2 linked regions of the Styela clava genome follow. The protein of the gene in region 2 interacts with the protein of the main gene of each other region in a pairwise test. Links are inferred from orthologs where the notes say so. Each region holds a gene or a part of one and is shown on either strand. Other genes may lie near its edges.

Region 1 (4,241 bases), on a different chromosome or scaffold from region 2:
AGTACAGCAGTTTTCTCATTTTTTTTTACTCATTGGTTACCCGACAGACGGTAGGCTACAGTACGGCCAGACTGGATTCCATGGCGGGTGCACGCCCGAGGGCGCTAGCGCTGCGCAAAAATGCACGCGAGCGAATTCAATTTTGCACGCCGAAAATTTGCAATTGTTCACCAATGTAAATCGGTTTAAATTGTTTTAAAATCAATAATCCAGTAATATAAAGATGCCAAAATATTATAACTCCACAATTGTCGACTAATACTAGCTTGCAAAATTTGGTCTGATCGAAAAATGCGAAGCAAAAAAGACCATATCGTGTTGAATGATAGGAATCCCGTGAGAACAGTTATGGACGAAAAGATCGCCCCCGCACCAACGCTGGCCAGGTACGGCTCTGATTTAGCGTATTTTTCATACAATAATTTTACACGAATGTACTGAACAGTACCGGTATTTAAAGTCGAACAAACACTCTCAAAATTAGTGACGGAGTATAAAAATACTGTTTGGGGTCAACGGTCAAACGGCCAATTTTGCTCTAATTTGCACTCCCAAAATTAATGACAAAGTATGTCCATTTTTCTCTGGTTCAACGTATTTTTTATTCAATAATTTTACGCGGATGTACTGAACAGTACCGGTATCCAATATCGCACAAACACTCTCAAAATTAGCGACAAACTGTAGAAAAAAATGTTTGGGGTTAAAGGTCAAACGTCCATTTTTGATCTGATTCAACGTAATTTTTATCCGATACCGAACGGTGATGTATTGAGAGGTATCTAATGTCAAAGTCAGTTGCACGCGGGCGCAGTTGTTTTGCACGCCGTGAGCTATAATTGCAGAGCCATTATATAATGGCTCTGATAATTGCACGCCAGGGATTCTTATTTGCACGCGGGAATTTCTGATTGCACGCCCGATTTCTCGTTCAAAAAGGCCATGAAATCCAGACTGGCAGTACGGTCCTGTATACAATTCGGTATCTCTGTCTGTGGTTATATCCAAATGCTGAAATGCAGAAATGGGTGTGAATTTGTAGTACCGTACTGCTGTACTGTGCGTTACTGAACTAAGCTTCAGTTTCTCTAATCGGAAAGTCTGACAGTGGTTATGTTCCAATATCTAGAAATGGGAAGCAATCACCTAATTCATGTATTCACCTAATTCATGTATTATATTCATTTAAATTTTTTCCGATTCTTTCATTGAAAGCTAGTGAACTATTTAAACTGCTATGTTCTTATAAAAGTAGGGAAACTGAATATTTCTGTCTGAAGCGTTTGAGGCCTCTGGCCTGGTCAAACCACCAAAATGATCGGTGGTCTTTTCCTTTACAATCACAAGGGAGAAGTTCTCATATCGAGGATATATCGTGATGATATCGGGTATGTTGTTCTTTATGACCATTGATTGCAGATTTTATAACTTTTGCACTTCTATATATATTATACTATGTGTATGTTTACAGAGTGTTATTAATAACAGCCTATTATGTCAAAGTTCTTATTGAAAAATTTGATTCAGAATTTGGATCTGGAGTCCCAGAGTCCAAATATTCTACAAGTAGGAGCGAGAGTCAATTTTTCTCTACTGGGAAACTTAGCCAAATTTTTTTTATCCTCGAGTCAAAAGTCAATTGTAAAAATTTCCAGACTCCATATCCCTGCTTACAATCGCATGAACGCTCCCAGTCCAGAAAAGCCAATAGCTATTTTTGAAGTAATCTGAATTTATAGACTCTCCCTAATTGTGAGGCGCGGTTACGGCAGCAAAATTTTACCTGCCATTGGTTTTCAATTTGCTGCCGCGGTAACGGCAGCTCGACATTGGTTTGTGGCAGCTAAAAAGTCAGTCGCCATAGGTTTGGCCGTAGCGGCCATGATATGGAAATACCGCCATGGTTTTGTGGCAGCTGCAGACGCCATGGAATACTTAAAACTGCACTTGCTAATTGTAGTATTTCATTGTTCTGACATACAATGTAATATTTTACAGGCGGAACGCGTGTGATGCTTTTCGTGTCAATGTTATTCATGCAAGACAGCAAGTGCGATCACCTGTTACCAATATAGCACGGACAAGTTTCTTTCATACAAAACGAGGAAATATATGGCTATGTGCTGTAAGAATTTATTGTAGAAATCACAGTATTTTTTTACTTCAACAAGGAATGCTTTACTGCTGTGTTTCAGGATTCATTTTTAGGGGAATGAAAATTATAAGACTGATCAATATTATGGTGTATCTATATCAAAAATCAATAACTATGATTTTTAAGCTAACCCATTTTTTGGAGACTTTCCTAAATGGATTTATTAAAATATTGGAAAACATAATATATGTTACAATATAGTCAACCAAGAGCAATTTAACCAGATATATAAATTTGATTCTATTTCGATACTTTCCTGATTCTCTCAAATACCTTGTGGAATTACTTATAGTACCTCTAGTAAACAATTTCGCACTGATAAATGGTATAAAGACTGTTCAAAATAGTCCAAAAATAACACATTTTTATATAGCTTTAGTAACATTTGAGGTAGGCTATATGTTATTTGGTGGGAAATGGATTTGCTTTTGTTAGCTATGACCCTAATGCTGATTTTCTTTACGATTTTTCCAAAAATTCTATCGCGTTTAGAAACCAAGCTCTCTAGAAAGTATACAATTAAACAACGCTTTCATTTTTCAGGTAACAAAGCAAAATGTCAACGCTGTTCTTGTTTTTGAATTTCTTCTTAAAATGATCGATGTTATGCAAAGTTATTTTGGAAAAATCAATGAAGAAAATATCAAAAACAATTTTGTTTTGATATACGAACTTCTAGATGGTTAGTGTACATAGACCATAGCTTCTCTTTTATTTATCAACTTAGAAGATCCTGAGTTTGAACATCCCAGTATTTTATCAGCTTATCATGCCCAATACCTCATTCTCAACCCTCCGACCGTTTGGTAGATAGACCTCAGCTCGAACCTTAGATCTCAAGTGTGCAGCGTTCAGTAGAGAGAGAGGGAGAGAGATTTGTTTTTCGTCGATCAAAATAAAATACCAGTCATCGTAATAATAAAAATAATACCAAGTGATAAATTAGTTTGGTATGTATAGACAGGAATCAATGTCAACTCCCCACTTCACACTATTATGTTTAAGATTCACAATTTCAGATGACAAATTATTAAGGTAGAACATTCCAAAGTTTGAAATTATATTCACAAAATGGGAGAATAAAATTGGGGAGTGGAATGCTAGAGTAAATCATTCTTATTTGTATATGTGGAATGGGGTTCCAAAGTTGAAAGAGATTTCAAAGGGTTTCCAAAGTAGTTTCTAATTTCATAGCTGCGAGTCTAGTTACGACCCATGAGTTATCTGTGCCATCAAGTCGAGTCCTGGAGTCAAGATGATTGCTGAGTTAATTCTCACAGGCGGTCAGCTGATGACAAGTTTGAATTTTTTCATTTAGATGACTCGACTTTGAGTCTTTGATAAATATTCAATCAATCCAACTCCAGTTGAGTATTTGATGAAGGTTGACTCAATGCAATGCCAACTTACTGAAGCCAATACCAATGTTAAGATTTGAATTTAACAGCACTTGAATCGTAAAAAGCCTATTTCTAACAATCAAGCTAATGGAGATGCATATTAGATTAGCTTTAAAATGTTTCACATTTACAGTATTTGAAATTGCAAATGGATTTTTTTTTATCAATGAATTTTACCTATTACAGAGGTTTTGGACTTCGGATATCCGCAGAAGACTGATACTGGAATATTAAAGACATTTATTACGCAACAAGGAATCAAAACTCAGGTTATTATGTTATTTATGATCTTTAATAACATTTTGTAAAAAGCTTTAAGTTATTTTCATTTTAAATAAAGAACTAAGATGATTTTTAAAATCTCTAATTCAGTTGAAATGAATGTGTCATTGATGCAATTTGTATTCTGAAGGGATTAATAATTTTCACTGACACTTGGTATTTCTAATTTAAAATTTGTTCAAATTTTATTAAGAAAAGTTTTAATTTTCGAAATTGATTGAATTTGAACTTTATTGCTGTAATTATGTGTGATGACTAACTCTTGTTTCTTTTGACATTGTGCAAATCTTAATAAAATAAGGTTGTAACTGCATTGTCTGGAAAGGTAATTTAATAATTCTAATGTGATGTCCAGATGTCTGTTCGTATTTTTTACCGTATTGTTGTTTATCTGCTTGTCCAGA
Region 2 (4,241 bases):
CCTCAACCAAAAAAAAACTTCAGTTCACACAAAGCATAGAACCACAGCAAATTAAAACTTTAAGATGAGAACCCAATACAATTATTAATTAGGCTAAAATTAATTAGGCAGAAAATGCAATATATTCTCTATGATCCATACCTTCATCCTCTGTGGTCTTTTCATTATTCCCTGCTACAGTTTCTTTATCCTGAGTCTGTCCGCTTTCTGAATCTTGAATGCTTCTAGTGCTACGGTTCCCAGGACTGCTTCGTAGTTGATTACGCTTGCGTTCTATGCTCTCCATAGTTAACGTGTCTAGTTTGGTTTGTGATTGCATTTTTTTGAAATTTCGATTCAGACGTTTTAATTGTGTAAGGATACGCTGAACTTCCCATAAACGTTCATCTTTTTTTCTGAAATTTAAACAATAAATGATTTTATTGGTTTCTGTAAAAAAGCATATACAAAATCTGTAGCATATAAGCCAGTGCTTGACCAAGTCAAGTTATTTTTTTCAACCAGTAAAAAAGTCAGTTTTCAACAAAATATGAAGAAAAAAGATAGGCACACATTTCAACTGGGGATGGGAAGCTGCAAGAAACCAAAGCTTGGTATCAAGCAGCAACACTCAAGGATCTAATATAAAATAAGTTTAGTTTCAGAACTTCTGTTTTTGTTAGACATTGAGACTAATGGAATAGATGATAAAGAACATCAGATACAATTAATCAATTAGAATTAACACACATAAGGTTTATAATAATGAATAGTGTTATTTGATCACTGTATGTAAAGTATCCTTGCAAATCTTTTCTCAGCAGATTTTAGAGAGCACGGGACATTGATTCAAACAAATCCAATGTGGATTGCCGGTCCATCGTAAAATGTGTGCCAGGTTAGAGTTTGGCCATAATTTTATTCCGATTTTCCTTGTTTTAGTTCTATTATGAGTTCGAGGACTGTCTGTGTTAGCTCTCTTCCCATAGGTTTCAGTCCTTTCACACAACTTGATGTAAAATGAGCGAACAAAATTATTTACCCCCATATTGGTACACATACACTTCTGGAGCACTCTCTAGGGACTTTTTTATCAGCAAATTTTAGAGTTACATCGTTTCAAACAAGCCAAGTCTGTACAGTATGGATTGCCTACCCTATTTATCATATCCTGGATGGGACGTGATACTTACCATAATCTACAAGGAGACATTTTCTATGATCTGCCATAATTCAAAATTTTATGAGTATGGTAAACTTCATACCTAGTCGGTACTGCATGTACAAAATGTATTCAGAATGGAAACAAAGAAATATTACCTGTCTTTACAACCAGCTTGTAATTGTGAGTGAAGCCGATTTAAAACAAATTCTTGACGTTTTATTTCTTGAACAACTTCTATTTGATCTTTCGGTAATGGAGGCATAGTGGCCCAGTCTTGCCATCTCATTGGTCTGATTAATGGTTTGATTTCAACCCCTGTGAAGAGAAAAAGACAAATTGAATTTGAAAGTATTTGAAACGCTTAGGTATTGCAAGAATATATGGTACTTTTTCTGGTGTGATCATATGAAAACGTCTCATAAATATCAAATTGAAAGTTTCGTAAAAAATGCCCAGTGGAGCAGAACATACCTGCAAAAATCTGTTTCGCTTGAGTAAAGAATAAATTCAAAACTCTGTGACTGATGTGTAACGTCGGACTTAAAACGATCGAAATATTCTGTATCGTCATTTTGCTCTCCTTCTCGTGATCAATAATGTGACTGAAATGTACGATTAACCACGAAATCAAAACTTGGTTACATTCAGGGAGATTTTGAAGAATTGATTTGGTCGCTCGGATTTTATCTGAACCACTAGCAGCCTCTTCAAACTTCATGGAGTATTGGTCGGTCAAGACACGCTCTGGTAATTCTCGTAGATAATTTTTTAAAAGACTTGCAACTGTGTATGGGTCGTATTGATTCAAATCCGGAGAAATTTCTTGGTTGTAGGTTTTTATGAGTTCATCGACTTTTGCTTTTACTCCAGATATCCGATATATTCCTTCCGCTGTTAGACCTTTGTTCTCCAAATGGTCTATGCAGTCTCGTACCACAGCAGGTAAAAGGATGTTATCGTGGTAGCAAGTGCGCTGCACTGCCTCTTCTAGAGTTTTTTTGAATACCGGGTTGACAATCTCCTCGGATTCTTCTGGTAGGCTTTCAGGAATCTCATCGCTTGGGTTCGATAAAACTCGCTTTTTTGATTTATGTTTTTTCTGCGGATCTTTTTTGTCTTTAAACGATATTTGTATGTCTCTAGGTAAACTCGCTGACTTTTTCTTCGCATCGCGATGTTCTTTTGATTTTGGCGTCGAGGATGGTACATCAGAAGGAATGTTCAAAGAGTCCCCAGGTGTTTTCCCTTTTTTGCTAAGTTTCCCTTTAGAAAACGAAGCTTTTTTAAAGAGGCCTTTCGATGTTTTTGGTTTTCTAGATTGTCCTGATTTTGGAGTTCCAAAGCTTTTTGAAAATGGAGATTCTTCATCTGTCTCATTATCTGGTAAGAAATGATGATATCCTTTCTCTTTTTTCTTTTTACGATTGGTATCTTCACCAGACTCACCGGATTCAGTCATTTTGTAAACTCAACTTAATTAATCTAGTTTAACAAAATTTCGAATCTAAAGATTGAAAGGTGGACATTTATCAATTTCATAATTTGTACATAATTTCAGGTACAAATACAATACTATCAATTGACTAGTCCCAGAACTCGTAATAGGAAAATTGGAATAAAATTTTGGCCTAACCCTAACATGCTACACATACTACCTTATGTTCGGATGTCCACCACCTTGGTTCACAAACTTTGGGAGTACCAATCATTAACATTGAAACATGGTTTCCAACCAACAATACCAACTTGGTTTTGCAAAAAAAACTTTCCACAAACAATGAGAACAAAAATTTAAAATTTTGGAATGTACAAACATTCCCAGTAGAAACAAATATACCAAACCAGTCTTCTTAATCAATCGGAATACTATTCCAACATATTATCATGATTTTCAGAATAAACATATACAACTTTATTGTGAAAAATAATATTCCTTTTCTAACTATGTGGATATAAATTTGAATTTGGCGCAGATGTGTATGTACCAACATTGAGGTAACTAATTTTGTTCGCCTACTTTACATCAAGTTGTGTAAAGGGACTGAAACCTATGGGCAGGGAGTATATTCACTTGGCTAACATAGACAGTCCCCGAATTCGTCATAGGGCTAAAACAAGGAAAATCGGAATAAAATTGTGGCCTAAACTGGTACATACACTACGGGAGTACCTATAATTTTTGAGTATAAGTCATAAAAAAATTTGAATGCATAGACAGGCAATATGTAAAAATTTAATAAAATATAAAAACAACTTTGTTTCTAGATGGAATGGACAAAATGAAAACTAAGAAAAGAGGAAGTAATATCATTGAATATTTCCAATATTCCTAATTCACAAGCCAAGAAAAAAATCACCACAATATAATACAGTGAAAAACTTGTTGCACTGTGCTAAGTATTTGCAAACATTTGACAATACAATACAGTAAAGTGCTTACAATACAGAATAAGTGCTTTGTTTCTAGGTGAAATATGCAAAATGAAAACTAAGCAAAGAAGAAGTAATATCATTAAACAGTTTCAATATTCCGAATTCACAGGCTGACATAAAGTCACCACAATATATCACAGTAAAAACTCATTGCATTGCGTTAAGTATTTGCAAACATTTGACAATACAATACATTAAACTTATTTTCAAAATATTATAAATGAATAAGTGCTTTGTTTCTAGGTAAAACAAGCAAAATGAAAACTAAACAAAAAAAAAAGTATATCATTAATATTAAATAAATTAATATCCCCAATTTACAGGCCAAGAAAAAGTCACCACAATATACCACAGTGATAAACTTGGTGCATTTCGCTAAGTACAGTATTTGCAAATAAATTTGATAAAACAATACAGTAAACTTCATTTCAAAATATTATAATAGAATAAGTGCTTTAAGCTGGTATTGTTGTTAGAAGCAATATTCAGCAAAAGTTAAATAAAAAAATTACAGAAAAAACAAAATCTACAATTTTTCTTATTTTCTTGAAACAGCTTTTTTGGGCTGAGCCCTTGTTATCTTATATTTGCTATTTAAATCTTCTAATGTTACTTATTGCAATTCCAAAATGATTCAGCATAAATCATTTCCGAGGCGTATGAA

What was found. The genes of interacting proteins can lie anywhere in the genome.
Region 1: the proteins of ralA-binding protein 1-like (region 2) and AP-2 complex subunit mu interact in a two-hybrid assay, tested with the Drosophila melanogaster proteins (2 studies listed by BioGRID). The link is inferred for Styela clava from reciprocal best matches to the Drosophila melanogaster genes Rlip and AP-2mu.

What each region holds. Positions count from the first base shown.
Region 1 is NC_135263.1:5,966,166-5,970,406, forward strand, and holds the start of AP-2 complex subunit mu, read left to right. Parts: upstream 1-1,213; 5' UTR 1,214-1,314; coding exon 1,315-1,388; intron 1,389-1,998; coding exon 1,999-2,125; intron 2,126-2,698; coding exon 2,699-2,837; intron 2,838-3,741; coding exon 3,742-3,824; intron 3,825-4,138; coding exon 4,139-4,162; intron 4,163-4,241.
Region 2 is NC_135264.1:15,712,491-15,716,731, forward strand, and holds the start of ralA-binding protein 1-like, read right to left. Parts: upstream 2,684-4,241; 5' UTR 2,604-2,683; coding exon 1,616-2,603; intron 1,460-1,615; coding exon 1,300-1,459; intron 396-1,299; coding exon 142-395; intron 1-141. UniProt on the Drosophila melanogaster protein: Participates in receptor endocytosis during interphase, is also involved in mitotic processes when endocytosis is switched off.